Linked DNA regions of Coturnix japonica. The protein of the gene in region 1 interacts with the protein of each later gene in a pairwise test. Links are inferred from orthologs where the notes say so. Each region holds a gene or a part of one and is shown on either strand. Other genes may lie near its edges.

Evidence for each region.
Region 2: the proteins of GNL3 (region 1) and NPM1 interact in a two-hybrid assay, tested with the Homo sapiens proteins (2 studies listed by BioGRID, with this or other methods). The link is inferred for Coturnix japonica from reciprocal best matches to the Homo sapiens genes GNL3 and NPM1.

What each region holds. Positions count from the first base shown.
Region 1 is NC_029527.1:378,525-387,714, reverse strand, and holds the start of GNL3 (guanine nucleotide-binding protein-like 3), read right to left. Parts: upstream 5,725-9,190; 5' UTR 5,642-5,724; coding exon 5,629-5,641; intron 5,476-5,628; coding exon 5,417-5,475; intron 5,349-5,416; coding exon 5,211-5,348; intron 5,025-5,210; coding exon 4,911-5,024; intron 4,741-4,910; coding exon 4,654-4,740; intron 4,570-4,653; coding exon 4,434-4,569; intron 4,017-4,433; coding exon 3,913-4,016; intron 3,656-3,912; coding exon 3,523-3,655; intron 3,190-3,522; exon of another isoform or gene 3,117-3,189; intron 3,034-3,116; coding exon 2,946-3,033; intron 2,727-2,945; exon of another isoform or gene 2,649-2,726; intron 2,574-2,648; coding exon 2,390-2,573; intron 2,088-2,389; exon of another isoform or gene 2,015-2,087; intron 1,937-2,014; coding exon 1,794-1,936; intron 1,161-1,793; coding exon 1,024-1,160; intron 542-1,023; coding exon 339-541; intron 51-338; coding exon 1-50. Other genes in the region: PBRM1 (protein polybromo-1), read left to right, coding at 6,873-6,920, 7,995-8,150, 8,641-8,738, 8,958-9,105. UniProt on the Homo sapiens protein: May be required to maintain the proliferative capacity of stem cells. Stabilizes MDM2 by preventing its ubiquitination, and hence proteasomal degradation.
Region 2 is NC_029528.1:13,567,288-13,576,693, reverse strand, and holds the start of NPM1 (nucleophosmin), read right to left. Parts: upstream 4,768-9,406; 5' UTR 4,682-4,767; coding exon 4,618-4,681; intron 4,133-4,617; coding exon 4,053-4,132; intron 1,347-4,052; coding exon 1,227-1,346; intron 676-1,226; coding exon 582-675; intron 337-581; coding exon 233-336; intron 1-232. UniProt on the Homo sapiens protein: Involved in diverse cellular processes such as ribosome biogenesis, centrosome duplication, protein chaperoning, histone assembly, cell proliferation, and regulation of tumor suppressors p53/TP53 and ARF.

The DNA.
Region 1 (9,190 bases):
GTTTGTCCCATTCCAAGCTCAGCATTCCTGGTCATCGGAGTCCTGCCATCCTGCAATGGGTTGGAGAGGTCAGAGATGTGAGTTTGGTCAGACAGCACTAATGAAACTTCCCATGTAAATATAGAGACTGAGGACAGTGTGGTTGTCCCAGTGTTCAGCTGCTGGTCAGTAACACACTGACTGACCTTGACCAACACTGCTCAGCCCTTATTTCTAGGGGTGCCTTGTGGTTACTCCGGGTGGCTCTGCAGTGTCTGCACGTTGCTTATAGCAGGACATTAACTGGCTACTTGTTGTCAGGGCCAAGCAGGTAGGAAACAAATGAAACCCAGGTTTACCTCTTTGATGTTATTTTCCTCCTCTTCTTCTTCCATAGTGTCTTGATCATCATCAGTTTCCATTAAATCTTCTTCCTCGTGGCTTATTTCCAAGTCCTCCCACTCCGATTCTTCTTCTTCCACCTTATCTTTCACTATTTTCCCATTAGTCATGCCAACTGCTTGGAAAACAATGCTGCTTGCTGGGCTGGGGTACTTTAGAGCTGGGAAATACATACAAAGCTGTCTGTTACATCTGCTGTTTGCATGAGATACGATGTCTCCCCATTAAAAGGAAATTATGTGCATTTCCACATAATCAGGGAGAGAAAGTAAGAACAAGAAGATTGCCATGGTGAAGAACTGGGTCCTGAGTGTAAGATGTACAGAACAGGAACATATTTTGTTGGTCTAACTTGGAAATGGGGCAGGGTAAGAATGGGACAGGGCCCATAAGCACTGGCTATTTAGAAAGGTTAAATCAGATAAGCAGAAACTGCAAATTGCTGGGGTAATCTAGCAGGGGTGATCTGTGTTAAGGCAGCACCCGAGTCTGCTGTGTTGTTGCATTGGAACCCATTTAATTCTCTAAAGGTTTGTGTTGGCTGCATGTAGACAAAACAGTTGTGTAAGTCCCAGGACAGCTTCCACTCGTGGTCTCCTATTACAGCTTCTACAACAGCCCTTGGTGGTAGCTGTGCAGTACCTTGAACTGTGCTGCTGTTTTCTTCTTCCAGCTTCTTTAAATTGAAGCCCACCTGCATTTCAGCTATTTTGTCTTCTGTCAGGTATGGCGGCAGGATCTGAGATGGGGGTGGTTCTGAGTGGTAGCTTATTTTAGCTCTGCAAAAACCAAAGATAACGTGGTCAAATCACCGTACTTCAGAATCAAACCCAGAGCCCACGCCTTCAGAACTCCTCAGCTGAACCACTCCTCCCATATTATCTGTTTAGCAGCAGTTAAACGACTGTTTAAGTTGGACTCAGCAGCTGTCAGTAACAGAATTAAGGATGGCCTGCTCTGAAGCACCTGAACAGCCTCAGCAAGTTCATTGCAACCTGTTCATCACTGGTTCTGAACTGATCCCTCCCATGCTCAGAAGAACACAGGAATCACTACAGGTTCAAAAAGGAAAAAAAAGTTGCAAGATTCCTTCTTGATGGAAGAGAGCACAACAGGAACAGAGAGCAGGGCCAGTTCTCCTCGTGGACTTACAGCAGGGCTCAGCAAACCCAGCCCAGAACTCCCCAGAATTTGCTTTGACTCTGTCTGTATTTTAGTATTTTAGCTAATTAGCCTTGGCTGCTGTCCTCTGTTGGCTGATCCAGTCTGACTGCTCCGAACAGCCACCAAAACTTCCCCTCCTTCCTGGAAGCCGTTCTCAGGACTCAGTTCTGCTGTCTGGTCACAGCAGATTTAACAAGGTCAAAATCAAAAAGCTCTGCAGCATAACTCAGAACTGGTGACATACGTACCCAGTCCAGTCACAAAGCAGTGACTTAGCCATGTTCTCTATGTCGGGAACGCCCCCTTTTTTCAGCATGCCCCTTTTCTGAGCAAGTAAACTTAAAAACTCTTCAGTGTTCCTGAAATCTGGGATGCTGTAGAACATCATCACCTAGAGCAAAGAAAGCAGTGCGGGAAGCGGTTATCACAGAGCTGGAACGGGGTCAGGCTTCTGTGAACATACTTGAAACCATAGAGTGAAATCAGAGTTGGATCTGAAGTCTTCATTGTAATAAGAAGCAATTAAAGTATCTTCATTTTTCACTCCATGACATCGTTGCCTGATGATACATTTACAGGCAGGTGCTTTGTTGGTGGATTTTTATTTTTTCTTTAAATCAGTGAATTCAGTGGGAAAACAAAGCAGCTGACAGACCCTGCTGTGCTGCTGCCATCGTCCAGGTACAAGGGTGGATGATCACACAGCACTGGATACACCCAGCCAAAGTTTGGTTAAAGAGAAGGCAGAGCAGAAGAACTATCCAAAGTGAAATGAACTTCCGTTATTGGCCTAAGAAACCTAGAGAGCAGTTGTAGGCTGTGGAAGAATGACAACAGAACTTACCTGCTGCTTATTGCAGTGATCCAGAATGGCATCTACTGCTTTCACCAGGTTCACTGAGCACAACTCCCCACCGTGTATGATGCTCCTCAGGGCCATTGTCACAGCGCTGTTGGTACGGTCTGCAACTATGCTTGGACTGTCTAAAATCTTCAGCTGTTTATCAATACGCACAACTTGCATGGACCTGATCAGAGAGAGAAACAGGCCACGTCTGAGGACAAATCAAACAGCAAAGGACTGAAAACAGTGAGGGAAGTGAACCACAAAGCTCAGCATTGGATTGAATGCACTTCATGCAGAGTCAGTTTCAGTGCTTTCTCATCATGTGCTTTGTGCTGGACAGAAATCCAAACGCGCAGTAAGAGCAAGTTTATGCATTGTATTCTCTTGTGGCAGCTGGCCAGGATGAACGATAAGGTTCTGAATGCTGCAGATTGAAACGCGCATTTAAAACTGAACTTAGGCATGTTCTGACTGCTCCTGGCGCACAGAAATTGTATACAACCAACTCAGGGTAATAAGGACAGGAAAACAAACAGCTGTTAACTCAGCTTACTTGGTGACACCTCTGGCTGGCCCAACATCACAAACACGATCTTTCTTAATGCTATTGATTACGCTGCTCTTCCCCACGTTAGGAAATCCTGGAAAAAAAGCACAAAAATCCTCGTAAATAAGAAAACTCAGCTTATTTACCAACTGGTCACGTGTTTCTGATCACATACATCTTCCATGTGAGATCAGAGTTGGATCTGAAGTCTTCATATAGAAGTCAGACAACGTCTGTATCCTCATTTCTCACATTTGCAATAGGAAGGATGTGAAAAACCTCACTGAATGTCACACCACAAACCTCACCCGATGGGAGGAGGAGGCAGTGGAGGCTGTGCGGTACGTAACTAAATCTGCTTTATCAGTTAAGGCCTCATAAAATGTGCATTCCACGGGTCACATACACTCTGCATTAAAGTACTGGACAGATCACTATCAGCTGAGGTGCTGTGAGTCTCAGCTGTAAATGAGAACACTGCCTACAAGACCCAGAAGCGAGTAACATGTTGGTTGTTTTACGCAGGATACCAGAGCTGTAATGGGAGGAAAAGGAAACTTCTACCATCTCTCCAAAGTCTTACCTACTAACCCAACCTGAATGGCTTTGTTCTGCGTCCTCCCGTACTCCTGAAGAAGTTTCACAAGGCACGTGCTTCCAAAGCTTTCAGTGTGTCTCGATAAATCAATCCGTGCTCTTCTTCTCGAGAAAGTCTGCTACAGGATTCAAAGGAACAAAACAAACATGGCAGAGTCTTACGTTTATTCATCTACTGTAACACGTCCAGCTCCTGTGCTTCATTTGCTGATGTTACTGTGTCAGGTGAACATTTCGTAGGACAGGTGAAGCACAATAATCAAATACAGGAAAAAGGAATTTTGAAGCACAAGAGATCCTGCTTCAACGTGTTTCAACACCTACAACTGCAGACACGTATGATTCAGTCACCTGAGGCAGCACACAGAGCTCTTACCATGTTCCTGTCCTTCAGCAGCGTCGCTGATTTAAAGGCAACTGTTGGAAATTCCTTCTTCAAATAATTCAACCACTTCTGTAAGTTTTCCTTTGGCACTAAATCTGGAAGAAGAGCACAGCCTTCTCACTGCTGTGAATGTTGTGTTGCTGTCTGGAGAAATCTAACGTGGAATCAGAAACCAGGATCTATTCTGTCCACTTGGTACATTTCTCTATGAAAACTGACTGAAAACTCCACGGCTCTTGTATTTATTTTTATGTAAACTTCCAGTGAACTATGAGCTGAGATCCCCAAAGGCACCCAGGGCTGCAGCTCCCAGGGCTGATTTTCTGCCCCAAGTGGAATGTACCACAGTTACGTTTTCAGACCCTTTGTTGGGGTTTTAATTTTGTAGCATCACAAACAGAGGCTGCGTGGTACAACGGGTGATGTTATGGCAGCAGAACCTCAGATTTCTGCACAGCTCACATAGAACAGAACCACCCAGCAACTAAACTTGAAGAAAATCTGCTTCTTACCAATTTTGTTCAGAACCAACAGTAGCTTTTTTTCTCCTCCAGAGCCAGCAACAGCTTGTTCCAGCTGGGGACAGCGACAGCCCATCGGATCCCTGGCATCTAAAACCTCCAGAAGCACATCTGACATCTCGATCACCTGCGTAAGGGGGAAAAATAAAGAGATTTTAAGTTGTTTCACTGCTTCTCATTAAATTACATAAAAACAGCTGAAGCATCTTACTTTCTCAAGCTCACTGTGAAATGACTTCTTTGCATTTTTATCCAGATCCTTCTTGGTCTTCTTTGCTTCAGATTTGCCAGAGGCTTCCTGCAAATTAAAGCAGAAAAGAAATGATTTAACTGAGAGTTACTGTACTGTATTTGTGTGCACACAGCCTATAGAGTCAACACAACACGAGACCAGTACAGGTGTGATTCTAGGACAGTATCTTTTGCTTCCACCAGCTTCAAGTCCTGATAATGGCAGCAGGCACCAACCTTCCCCTCGGTCTGTTCCTGGGCTGCAGCCGTGCTCCTCTTGGCGTCGAGCTTCCTCCTCCTCTCAAGCTCCTTCTGCCTTTCGAGCTTCTGCTTCTGCTTCAGTTCTTCCAGCTGATGGCGAACAAGGAAGGGGTCAATGCGGGTAAACACGTGTGCGGGTGGTGCGGGATGGCACCCTGCTGCACATGTGAACTGGTCTGTGTAAGAGATGCCGGTGCAGCTCAGCTGGACACACACACACACACACACAGATGGACACACACACACACACACACACACACACGGTCCCGCCTTTACCCGCTGTTTCCTGAGCTCGGCCTCCCTCAGCAGCTCCTCCTTGAACGGCGCCGTTCCGGGCACCCCCGGGTCCTTGCGGTTCTTCTTGCGGCCCCGTTTCTTGGCCTCTTTCCGCACCTTGCGGTGATGCTCCCGGATCTGGGCACACACACGGTCCGTCAGCGGGTCCCTGCAGCCCCGCCCCGCCCGGCCCGGCCCGGCCTCACCTTCTTCTGGATCTTGTACCGCTTGTGGCACGTCAGCCGCTTGCTCGCCTTCCTCAGCTCTAAGGAACAGCGCAGCGCCCGTCAGCCCCGCTCGGCCGCAGCATCCCATCCCATCCCATCCCATCCCATCCCATCCCATCCCATCCTCCCGTTCTATTCCATCCCGTCCAGTCCCGTTCCATCCCACCCCGTCCGTTCCCCCCGCTCCTCACTCGGTCTCTTCATGGCGGCCTCGTTCTCCCTCACGCGGTTCCTCCGTCCCTCCCCTTCCTCCCGCCGGTGTTGCTGCCGTAAAGCGAGGCGGCTCTTCCTGTTGGAGGTGTCGCGCTGCCGAGCGCGCTTTGCGGCCGGTCGGGCTGGGCGGCGTTGCGGGGCGTCAGGCCGCGTTGTGCGGCGCGGAGCGGAGCGGGGTCGGCGCCGTGTGCGGGGTGAGCGGCGCGGCGGGGCCGGGGGCGGCGCGGGTCGGGGTGCGGCGGGCTCCCTTCGAGTGCACGAGCGGCGCGAGGCGGCAGCGGGGCCGCCGTTCCCCGCCCCCACCCCCGTCGGGCCCGTCCCCGCCCGTTCCGCGCATTGAGGCCCCGCTGTGCCGGGGCCCGGCCGCGCTCGCGGGGTTCGGTGCCGTCCGAGCGGGAGCGGCCTTGGCCTTGTGGCGACCCGCCCCGACACAGCGCTTGTTCCCGCCGAGCGGCCCGTACTGTGCGGTGCTGTGCGGTGCGGTGCGGTGTGATGCGATGCGGTGCGGTGCGGTTCGGTGCAGTTCGGTGCGGTGCCCGAGCGCTGCGGGTTGAAGCCGCTTCCCCCGGGTTCGGTTCCGAACTAAGTTGTGTGAACCCAATGGTCGCGGTCGCTTTGCCACCGAACGGTCCCGTACGCGGGGCGGACAGTCGGCCCCGCACGCAGCTTGTAAATGGAAGCAGCTCTGTCTGTATGGGAGCCGTGTCCGGCCGCTCATCCCGACAATGATCCCGGTTCTCTCGCAGACATTCGTGGTTGTTGCGGCTGGTAACGCTGCTTGTGCCCGCACCAATTGCCGCCCTGTTGTGCTGCCCCGCATCCCCCGTTCGTGCCGTGCAGCTCCGCTCAGCTGTGCGCTCCCTGCTCCGCTCGGCGGGTCGTTGCTGTTCCGGTGGCTGTTCAGTACTGACTGCTGAGAAACGGATCAGAAACGAGGTGCTTTTTTTATCAGTAACTGTGACAGAAACGCCCCGTGTCCTGCACCCAGCGCTGCTCTGGGGGCTTCCTGCTAAGGATCAACAGCAAAAGTTACCTCCTGTTTCTTGCTTTGTCTGCCAACTTGAAATCCTCCGCTTATTCTTTGCCGTGAATAACCCGTCTGCTGTCAGCTCTCTCCTCTCTTTCCTTGTTCTTGTCTTCCAGCTCTGGCTGTACTAACAGCACTGACCTGCTGCTCTGGGTGTCCCCTTCTCCCACTATCTGTGCTTGCCCACCAGGCACGATGAGGAGACTGGCTTTTCGAGGTGCTGGTTGTACTCTGGTAAATCTGGTAAATTATTGATCCAATGTACACCACGCTCTCCATTCTTCTGCATTAAGGCTTTCCCTACCTGTTTATTATTCCTGCCTTGTTCTTATTCATCTAATTTGTGCTCCAGATTAATTCTGTTGCTAGCGTAAATGCTCTCGTGCAGTCATGTTGTACTGCTGTGCCTTGTAGCTCCCCAGCAGATTCCTTGACTTGGTGTAGGCTGGGGTAGATGGATCTGTTCTGTCCTTTGAGTTAGCTACAAGTGGAGGTGTTGTTATGGTGCTGTCACCAACCTGGGGAAGAGCCAGCAACGTGATCCATAATGTCCATAGCTGCTGGACAGTGGCTGTTCATTTATGCTGCTGGACAGTGGCAATCCATTTGTCACTGCTACGTTGATAAAATAGAAACTGTGACCAAAACATTAGGTGGATTTTTCTGCTTCTTGATCACAGAATCACAGAATTACCCGGGTTGGAAGGGACCTCAAGCATCATGTAGTTCCAACCCCCCTGCCTAGCAGGGCCACCAAACATACACATTGATGATTGAGCCATTCATTCATGTTACACACGAGCTGGGAGTTGTCACACAACAACCGAGCCCTTTTGTAGCTTGAATGTAAGGCAAGGTATTCAGCAGCAGTTCGTGTTCTAGGTGGTCATTTGTCTTTTTCATGGCATCCTTGTCATTTTTTTTGTGTTGGTTTTATAATTTGAGACAGAATGAAGTGCTTTTCTCCATAAGACTCTTTCCTATAAAGCAGTTCTCATATAGGAATCATGCATGGCTCGAGGAACCAAAATGTAAATGCTTTCAGAACGTGTCCTGGTAAATCTGCTGAATCCATCTTTGTGTCTGTCAGCCCTTGGTTCCTGATGTTGGTGTTGGTGGTGGCAGTGTAAATCTGCAGGGCCATTTTGCCTTCCCTTTACTCCCAGTGCACGTCTGGTGTTTGCATGTGGCTTAACTGAACTGTGTATATAGGAAACACGTGTGACCCATTGCAAAACATAGCTCACTTAGTAGCTCGCTCCCATCAGAGGGTTTGGTTGCAATGCCAAGAGTTTAAGAACATTTCTTTCATTATAGAAGAAGTTGGATTCCATGGGTTCCAAGAGGCGAAGAGCAACCTCGCCGTCCAGCAGCGTCAGCGGAGGAGACTTTGATGATGGCCACCACTCCACGAATATCCCGGGCCCCAGCAGGAAGAGAAGGAGGCTTTCCAATCTCCCAACCGTGGATCCTGTTAGTACCTTCTTGTTACACACACCTTTATATTTTTCTTGTGGGTTAACTGTATTCTTGTCCCGGAAATGCTGGATTGTGAGATAAAAGTGGAGAACAGCTCTTCAATATGTGCTGGAATATACAGTGTCATTGTTATGTCTTTGAGTTAGCGGTTTAATTTTAATAGGACCTCTGTCATGGTTTTACATGTCTGTAACTCAAAGAGCGTTGTCCTAAATCAGTCTGCATTTGGAATGTTCTGCTTAGGGTTAGTATTGAAAGAAAGTTCACTCTATTAAATCAGACAATACAAAACAAAAACCAAACAGCCAACCCTAACATTCTGCAGTACCTGACGTGCTACGTATCGCACTAATGCACAGCGTGCACAAGTTCTTCACTCATTGCACATGAGCAGCTTGCCTTCCCCTTCTTGTTTTAAGCTGATCTTGATTTTTTATCTCTTCCAAATCTACTTATTTTTTCTTGCATTGTTCTTGAATTTTAGATTGCTGTATGTCATGAACTTTACAACACCATCAGAGATTACAAAGATGAACAGGGCCGGCTGCTTTGTGAGCTTTTCATTAGAGCACCGAAACGAAGGTGAGGCCGTGGTTCTTGTCAAGCCTTGGATTTAAGGAATGTTTCAACATTAATTACAGTTGAAATATAAAAAAAAAAATCATCTATATTCATCAGAGTGTCACAGCAATGCGTGATGATGTATTTGTTGTAATTGTTTGGCGGTACCTGCTGGTTTAGTTGTCTCTGTATCTAAACTTTCTGCTTGGAATATAATGCCTGGTTTTGTCATTACCACAGAAATCAACCGGACTATTATGAAGTGGTTTCCCAGCCAATTGATTTAATGAAGATCCAACAAAAGCTGAAGATGGAGGAATACGATGATGTGAATGTTCTGACTGCTGATTTTCAGCTTCTCTTTAACAATGCAAAGGCGTACTACAAGGTGAGGAAAATAGGTACAAAGGCTTGAATTTATTGATGATGGAAGTGATAGGGACACGCCGAGGTTCTTGCTTGGTTTGGCAGAA
Region 2 (9,406 bases), on another chromosome or scaffold:
AAGAGTTTGAGTTTAAGTGCAGTTACTGCAGTGGTCAAAGTAACCTTTAAATTAGCCCATCCAGCTTTGGAAACAAGCTGTATTTAACAGCACTTTTCTAAGTTAGTACCTGTCAAGACCCATGTACAAAGCAAACCTCTCCAACACTAATTTAATAACTAACTGCTCACTTCCAAGGCAGAATGAATACACTGAAGCAAAACAGAACTATGCAATCTGACTGGGAGTGTACCTGTGGTGTTTTAGCTCCTCCTCCACTTGCTGGTCTCTTTGTAGAAGCATTCACGATTTTTGTATCCTCTTCCTCGTCCTCTGATTCTGGTTCTTCCTCTAATGCTGATAAAATGATGGCAATGTTTAAAACATCCACCTTGTTAACAATAGCATAAGCAAGATGACACCACTCAAGCTCACAGATCCTCAGGCAGCAGTGGGAACTTCCCAATACCGATGCCTCCTTATAAATAGCAGACTGCTTTAGCATCAGTGGCATGCAGGTTTATTACATTGAGTTGTAAAAATCCCTTTGTTTTGCAAATGAATGAATAGTTTTGAACATCAGTAACCAGAGCAATACATACCTACAAGATGCTGACCGCTGACATAAACAGGCCCCGAACCACATTTCAACCTCAAAACAACTGGTGGTGTGATCTCAAATCCACCTAGTGAAACCTAAGGGAGAAAAGCAAAGTGTGTTCAACAGGTAATCCATCCAAATTAAACCAACTACGCCAACATCTGGAGATTAATAACTTAACACACCAACCACACTCTTCAAGCTGAGAGAATATTCCAGAAGCATTTGGAATTAGTTCAGGGTCAAAGTGCAGCAATAGCACTGTTTTTATAACATGGTGATGGTGTATCATAATTAAAACATGCTTTTTAAAGCCAGACCAATCCACAATTGTCTTTGCATGTGGGTGCATCTATATGTGATTGTATAGGACAACATGTAAAATTAGTACAATATATTAGTAAAATGTAGTATTTTTAAAATGTGTAAATTGACTCAAAGCCTGTCAATTGCCTGTGACTACAGCAAGCCAAGGAAAAAAAAAATATATATATATATATAGATTTAGCTTGTATTCACTACATCTGTGAATCCACTAAGCACTATGACAGATCAATACAATTTGGGCAGCCTAAACCCTCTTCTAATATACCCACCTCACCTGAGACCCAATTTGTAATAGACTGTTCCAAGTCCATTTACTTACTGTAGGCTGCACAGACATTTTCAGAGATGCCAGTACTACTTTAGTAGGGTTGCCTTCGTAGTCCAGTGCTTCTGCTTCTACAACATGTAATTCGTCTTTGGCTCCAGGCCCTAATGTAACCTGTGAAGTAAAGAACAGTGCACATCCTAAGAACACTCTTCAGTATCTGAAGTCCTTTAAATTGTGTTTGCAGTTCTGCACACAAAGATTGACATTTGTATCTGCGAATACTAATAGCTGAGTCACACTCCTCCCCAAAACCACCACCTCTCTTCCCATAGCACTCGCTTGTACAGTGTGTGATTCCAGACAATTGGTGTAGTGAACTTATAGACTTATTGCTTTCAAGGAGGAGGGGGTGTCAGTGACAAGTCCAGACAGCACCGTAACAGTCCCATGTGAAGAAGCACACATACATGGCTACAGGAAGATAAAACAGCTGCTATTATTACCAGAGAAACACAGCCTCGATACTTTTCCCTTCCTTTACAGCTACTTCTCTGTCAAGTTCTCACTGCAACACCACACTGTGTTGTTTACTTTAAGTTCAAGGAGAGTTTAAGTCTCAGCGCTGCTGAGTTCAGAGCTTTTCTTTTAGGCACGAGCCTTCTGCATTAACCCACCAAGTACTGAGCGCTGTCATCCTAGTGCATCTCAGACTCAAGTACCTTGATTCCTTACACCACATACAAGACAGGCACGTTCCAATAACTTGAAAATTGTAGCTTGAAGGTAGCAAACAAGTGACAGACATAAACCAGGCCAGAAATTCCAGTTTTCTGAACCTCTGGCATCTGAGTCAGAGTTATATGCAAGTCCTCTGAAAACCAAGAACTTCCTCAAGTACTACAATTATCTCTGAGGCAAGCAAACATGGCTTACTGCATCCCTTCCCAACAGCCATGAGAAGAAAGCTTCTCACTCTTCATGAATTAAGTGTGTAAGCACTTCACAAAGACAGTGGCATGCTCAAGCTTCCATTCCCTATGACATGTGTTTTAAGCAAGTGATCACAATCTAGGCAAAGCACATCAAATGAAGACTAAGAAACAGGATGTAGGCTCCACTACATGAGGCAATGTTTTATCATGTGAATTAGAAGCAGTGATATTGGTGCTCTGATCTCACCTCTCAAATGGATCCGCACTACAATCAGCTGGTGGGACTGCCCACTAGGATGAGAATTTCATTTTAAAGCATGTCCTCCCTGCCCACAGCTACCTACCCCTGCCATCTATACCAGTTCAACCAATATTATAGTAACTAAGATACATTTCTTTACTGAGTGGCTGGCAGGCATCCATTTACATGTCTTGCCTTCTACACCAAAGTTAGACTAAACAATAAGGGGAAGGAGGCAGCAACCACTCCACTAGCTAAGTGAGCCTAAAGATGTAAGTTAACCCTCATACAACTTTCTACCTCTACACACATCAGTGCTCCTCCCCTTTCATTTTCATCCTTCTTTGTCCTCCCTTCCCCTCCCTCCCCAGCACAAATTCAGCCAGAGACTTAAATTACACGTGTCTACCTTTATTCATTTATACTTTCATCCTGAGCACAGACACAGTGTTTACAAGAGTCATGCTTTATCTTCCAGAACCTCCTTACCCTGCTTAATAAGCCATCTCTTCCTTGTAGATTCTTTTAAGAGATGCCAAGCTTAAGACATTACTAACCTGTTATTTCAATCCCCATCATTCTTTTTGGTCATCTTTTTAGTTTAAAAATCATGCTGCTGAATAAGACTTTTTTTCCCCACATGGGAAAAAATGGCCTAAAACTACATTCTGCTAAGCATAGAATCTGCTCCATGCTCAATGAAGACCCCCCCAGTCCATCAGGAGATGCTACAGCTCACTTCTAAAGTGAGAATCTTTAGACAAATCCACACAACTGAAGTATCACCATGTGACAATTCTTACTTTGTTACAGCCATACAGGTATGAGAACCACCTGCATCAACCTTCTCAAAGAACTTCCCTCAAAACAAACTCTAAAGGGCCGACAATTGTGTCTAAATTGCTCGTTGTCAAGTCCAGACTGTAATATCCGTGAAACAAAAGGGTGAAGACGTGACTCACACAACTAATGTTGAAGTGAAAGCATCCTAAGTATCGTTCTGATAAGGCTGTGCATTGAACAACATTAACATCCAAATCTCCTGCAAGGAGCAATTCTCACTTCTAGCTTAATTTTTTCTTTTACATTAAGGTGTAACCTTCATGTTTAAATATAAGTGAAAATGCAGAGGCACCACGACTTCCTTGGCTGGGAGCTACAAACTCATTGCAAGTTAAGTTGCATCACCTTGTATTAGTGATGAGGAAAACAACACAAGCATGCTCAGCCTTGAGCCAAGGCCCCAAAATACTGTGCCCTGCTCAATGCCACAGGCCCCAAAAAGATCCAAGTCCACACATTATTAGCAGTTTGTGGGGAAAAAAGCCCAGAAATTACAACTGGGGAGTATATGAAAGATCCATTTCAAAGTAAAGTTCCTGTGCTCTGCTGCAATGTGCCCTCTATGATTAATCTAAGTCTTCCCCTCCTCGTGCTCCTGGAACAACTGAATATTGCACTCAATGTCAGCTCCAACTCTCGATTCCTTCCAATAAACATTTATTAACTCACTGGACATAGGTTACCATATTCTCAAGCTTGTATTACTTGTAATAGCCCACAAAACATCGGTACTTATTTAAAGATAAATCAGTTCAATGCAGTGAGTTTACACACCACATTGGCCTTCTCACAGCAACCACGCAGCACTACTTGAAAACCCCACCTCAGAACTCGAAAAGTAGGAAAACAAAAGCTACTTACCGTTCTCAAGGACAACTGATGCTCGTTCTCTTCATCATCTACTTTGAACTGATACTCCTTCTCCGCTTTAAGCTCACAGCCTGTAATGAAGAGTGAGCAGACGACAGAGAACGATGAGCCTCATGGCCAACCTCCCCCGTTACTCCATAGCCCCAACGTTTAGGACACATCCACGTTTAGGACACGTGCTGTGTTAGGCCCAGACCTACGGCCGACCACGCGGCCGCTCTGCAGGCCGCTCCCCTCCCGGTGCAGGCCGCATCTCACCCCCCCCCCCCCCACATACTCCATGTGTGCTGCAATGGCCGCAGGTCCCCGCACGCCGCTCCACGTGCTCAGGGTCTGAGGAACAAAAGGGCCGCATCGCCACCACATACGGAGCGGAACCGGATCGGAACCGGAGCGGAACCGGAGCGGCCCAACGCTCAGCGCTGCCCCGCGGCCTCCTCCGCCTCCTCCCACTCCAATGCGGCCCAACGGGAGCCCCCTCAGGCCCAAGGCCCAACCAACCGCCTCCACCGCGCCCTACAGCCCCCAGCACAGCGTGGGGAGCCGATCCCGTTACCGAAGAGGAAGGTCTGCGGGCGCAGCGGCCCCATGCTCTCCATGTCCATAGCGCTGTCCTCCATGTTCTCGGCCTGCTCTCTCGGCTGGATCTGTGCACGATGCGGCGCGGCGGGCGGACAAGCACTAAAGGAAGCCCCGCGCCCGCCCCCCTCCTATATATAGCCCGCGTGTTCTCGCGAGATCCTCGGCCGTGGAGGAGGGTCGTGATTGTGGTTGTGGGTGATGTAAACGGGGCGGATACAAAATGGAGGCGGTGTGTGGGATGTGATGTCACCCCATTCATTTCCAACGTGTCCTTCGTGCTCCTCATCCCTGTGTACATGTTCTAACAGTACCAACCGGTCCCGTTACCAAATCCCGTTAGCAAATCCCGTTACCGAGATGTACAAATGCAGTGCTTTGTGCTGGGACTGCTAAAACACCACAAATGTGGTGTGAATGAGGATTAATTTATTAGGGCTGCATGGACCACGAGCTGCATCCATTGCAGTGTCAAATCTGAGCTTGCTAAAAGGCATTTTTAAGTTAAAGGGGATAAAGATAAAGTGTGTGCTGCTCCACATGGATGCAAGACAAGAGCAACACCTGACCCACCATTGCATTTGCTGCCCACCATGAGATGGATGCCAAGCAAATTCGGTTCCTTTAAGCTGGTCACAAAGCCAGATGGGTATGGAAAGACAGGAGAAGTCTAGGGGGAAGTTCTTTACTAGGAGAGTGGTGAGGCCCTGGAACAGGCTGCCCAGGGAGGCTATGGATGCCCCGTCCTTGGAGGTGTTCAAGACCAGGTTGGACGGAGCCATGGGCAACCTGATCTAGTAAAGGTGTATGTTTGGTGGCCCTGCCAGGCAGGGGGGTTGGAACTACATGATCCTTGAGGTCCCTTCCAACCCGGGTCATTCTGTGATTCTGTCAAATGTGATTCCCTGTCAAAGGGAAGCAGTGCAGCCCCAGAACGTTCCTCTTCAGACCGAGTCACTTTTAATTCAATTACACCCATCCATTACCGAGGAAATAAATGCGGGAGGAAACAAAGGACAGACGCAGGGAAGCAAAAACAGGGGTAGCAAGTAGGAGATATATGCTTACTGCATCTCGTTTGGCTCCATGGGGCTTAAGAAGGGCTGTCATATATCACGACATTTATTATTCCTTCCATGTACTAGGATGAGAAGTCCATTACAATATCGATCATTTTATTCTGCTCAACCGTATGCCATCTAATATTCAGCATAGCTGAAAAAGCTTAGGAGTGATTTAGAAATAGCTGCACTGGGAGAAGTGAGGAAGAAATCGGAGTCAACGTGGTTTCCCTTAATGGAATTCTCTTTCTAGGAGGCTTTTACAAAACTTAGGAAATCACATTTCGAACACGGTTAAAGCCACAGCATGGCTTATGTTACAGACATAAGATAGATTTCCTATGCAATCTCAGTTTGCATGCTGATGTGATGATACAACCTTCGTGTACCTGTCATGTACCCCTCCACAGTTCGTGCCCTAGAGAACTCCAGGGGAAGATCTTAAAAGGCACCAGAACTTACCCTTCCTTGATGTCAGAAATAACACCTACAGACCTGAAAGTCCATGTGTTTCCATTGAACTGAGTGACACAGGTGATGCTGTCACTAGGACACTGCTATCAGTACCTGGTGGCATCCCAGCTCTGAACTGTTCTGCAGCCACGGATCCTCTCAGCCTCACCTCCTTACTGCAGCCTTTGGATCCTCTGATCCTGTCATGGGTGGCACTGGGAGTTTTCTTTGTTCTCCTTTAGTATATAGTCTATTTCATGCAGGCTTTGCCTGTAGCACGTTGTTTATGCAGAGCAGCCCAAGGCCTGCATCAGAAGGTCCTTCAGTGCTGGAGAAAGCTGTGTGCTGGAGGGAAGCCAAGGGCGGCTGATAACCAAGCCTGCATGCTAATGGCAGCATCTGCTGCTGCTGCTCCATCTCCTCTGAAGCCTCTCATTTTGCTTCCAAGGGATCCATTATTTGTTAGGGCCCCATTTCAGAGATCTGCCTCAAAAATGGAGGAATATCCACAAAACAGACACTCAGGTGTCACAAAGTTACACAGGTAAATCACACCTGGCATTACTATCAAGGCATTAAAGCCTGAGCTCACCCGAAGTTTCTCCTTATTTCTTTATTAAATACCCTAAAAGCCGTTCCAGTGTGTACAGAGCCTAATCATTTGGAATGAATGAGCCCTGAGCACGAAATAACTGGCTCAAAGTTAGTCCCTTTATATAAAGAAAGGAATTTAAACTGTACAGTGAGCTTTTGTGCATGCAGACAAGGGTCAGATATGGCTCTGCTCATGCCCAGATGGGTTTATGTGCCTGGATCTCGTATGTGCTCAGATCTCACCAAATGCCCTTGCCCCATTAAAGGGTCTGCAGTGCCTCCCACTGGGTTCTCATTTGCTGTCGTGTACTACTGCTATATCTGCTTCCAGCTGCCAACATTACTCTGCTTGTTAAACTAATGAACCCAGTCCTGAGGTGATGCTCCACATCGGTGCAGATGTGCGTGAGCTCTCCTGACCAAGGCATCAGTCAGTGACCAAAGACGTGGAGAGTGGAGGGGACAGATGGCACTCCACATAAAGCAGCCTGTTCTGGTGGTCATTTTTCACTGCTACTTATTCTGCTTTGGTTTTACAATAATGCACTCGCACTGCTTCTGCGGGTTCTGAGTAAGGGAGAGCTAAAGCTGCAAGGTGGGCCCACAGAGTGCATGTGTCCAGGTCCTGAGTTTCCTGTGTTAGATGCACTCTACAGCTGCATCTGAATATCAGGACCCCAAGGATGGACCCATCTGCTGTTCAAGAGGCAGATAGGGTGCAGTCAGTCCGACACAATGATGGGCTGATGCTCTGGATAAGAGCTTCAGGAGTGAAATTTCATCCTCTCAAAGCTGTCTGCTCTCGTATTAAGATCAACAGCACCACCTAGTGATCCCAAATCAGCTTCTGTTACCTGCCTGCCTCATCCCCTGCGTTTCATGCGTTGCTCCAGGTCTCCCAAGGTTTCCCTGTTTCTCCCCACCTCCAGCACTGATGCTCGAGGGTTGCTTAGAAGAAGGTATTGCACGGTGGAGGCTGGGAGCACTCAGACATAGACCTCCAGATTGAGGATGAGGTGATCCTAATCAGCTCACAGACCAAGAAACACCACTGAGCTGTGAGCTGGACCCCATTTGGGGGTCCACAGCTTCCACATTCAAACTAAACCTCTTGAGGGAAAGAAATAGTCTCTCCTTATTCATCCCTTGGTTCTCTCCTGGGCTTGACCTTGCCCACATGTTGTTTAAACCATGCAATGGAAGGACCTCAAGAGCATCAGTCAGAGGCCATGCTTTGTTCCCAAACCCCCACTGGTACGTGATGATGATTTTTAATTATCTCTAAATTATTTCCAAATTTGAAGTCTAAGTGCAGACAGCAGCCTCACAACGAGAGCTCCCATCTGCCTCGTATGGCACTTTGCAGGCTTTGCTCTCTATTTGCAAATCTCTGACGAGCTGCTGCTGAGCTCTCTGCCTCTCCTGCCAACATCTTCACTTTGTTTTGTTAACTCAAATTGTTAACTGTCCTGACACAACCAGATGTACTGCGCACGTCTGTGTGGCTTCCTGCAGGTCCCATCAATTTCATTTACCTTCGTTGCCGTGCCTTTTAACATTTAATTACAAAGCAGTGCTCCTCAGTCATTTTACTTATCACTTGCCATTTCTATCACCTCAGCAAGAGCCCAGAGTCCCTCCAGATCCTTTGCCAGTGGGGTTTAGAGGTGGGAAGGATTGCCCTAGGTGCCTTGTTAATAGCAAGCTACTGACAGATCAATTAGCCCTCAGCACTCCCAGTGTTAGCATTGCTCATGTGCTACTCACTTGCAGGTTGTCACTTGTGTACATTCCTATTTTCATCTATCAGTCATGCCTGGCACATGGCACAGACATCTCCCATGTCCTGGGCACTGCTTATGGTGCAGGGTAGTGATGGAGCTGAGCAGAGGACCAGGTGCCTGAGCTCAGCAGGAATAATGAGCTTCGCAGTAACATCTCCCTTTCATGGTCATTGCACAACCCACCAGCAGGCTGCATCAGGCCTGAGCTAAATGGAAGCTCTCATCAACTGCAAACATACAAGGTTAACTGTCCTGGAGCACGAGGCCAGCTAAGGGAGTCTCAGGCTCATTACACCTCACCTGCTGCCAAACACATTCTTGTTGCAATTTTAGGCTCCGATTTCACTCTCAGGTGGGCAGGACCCTTATTTAGTTAACAGCTGGGAAGACTGAGGGCTCTTGGGGCACTCGATAAGTCCATGTCCATGCGGAGGGTGTGGGCTCAGGGTTTGAGTTTGGATGCCTTGCACTCTTGTAGGAACGCCAGGCAGCTGGGCTGTGCGCGCAGGCTGTTGCTCATTAGTGGGTGTTGGAGCAGTGATGCACTGGAGGTGTCTGTACACGAGAGGGCACTATGAAATTACAGATGGCAAAAGGAAAACGTATCGAGTTAGTGAAGCCGGGGAAAGACCTCGGCTATGAGAAGGGATGGAAGCTGCAAATAACGAAATCTGAACCTTCACACCGCCGTGTAAGGGTGACTCTGGGGTATTAAAACTGGTAAAGAAGGAGCTGTATCAGAGAGACAGATTCTTTTCCTTACTAAATGTTTAAAGCCAGCAGCCGTCCTTGCAGTGTTGAAGTTTTGGCCTTTCATTTAGGGAGGTTTAATTAAAAGGCAACTTTGCTGGGGTCAAAACCCACCTAATCAACA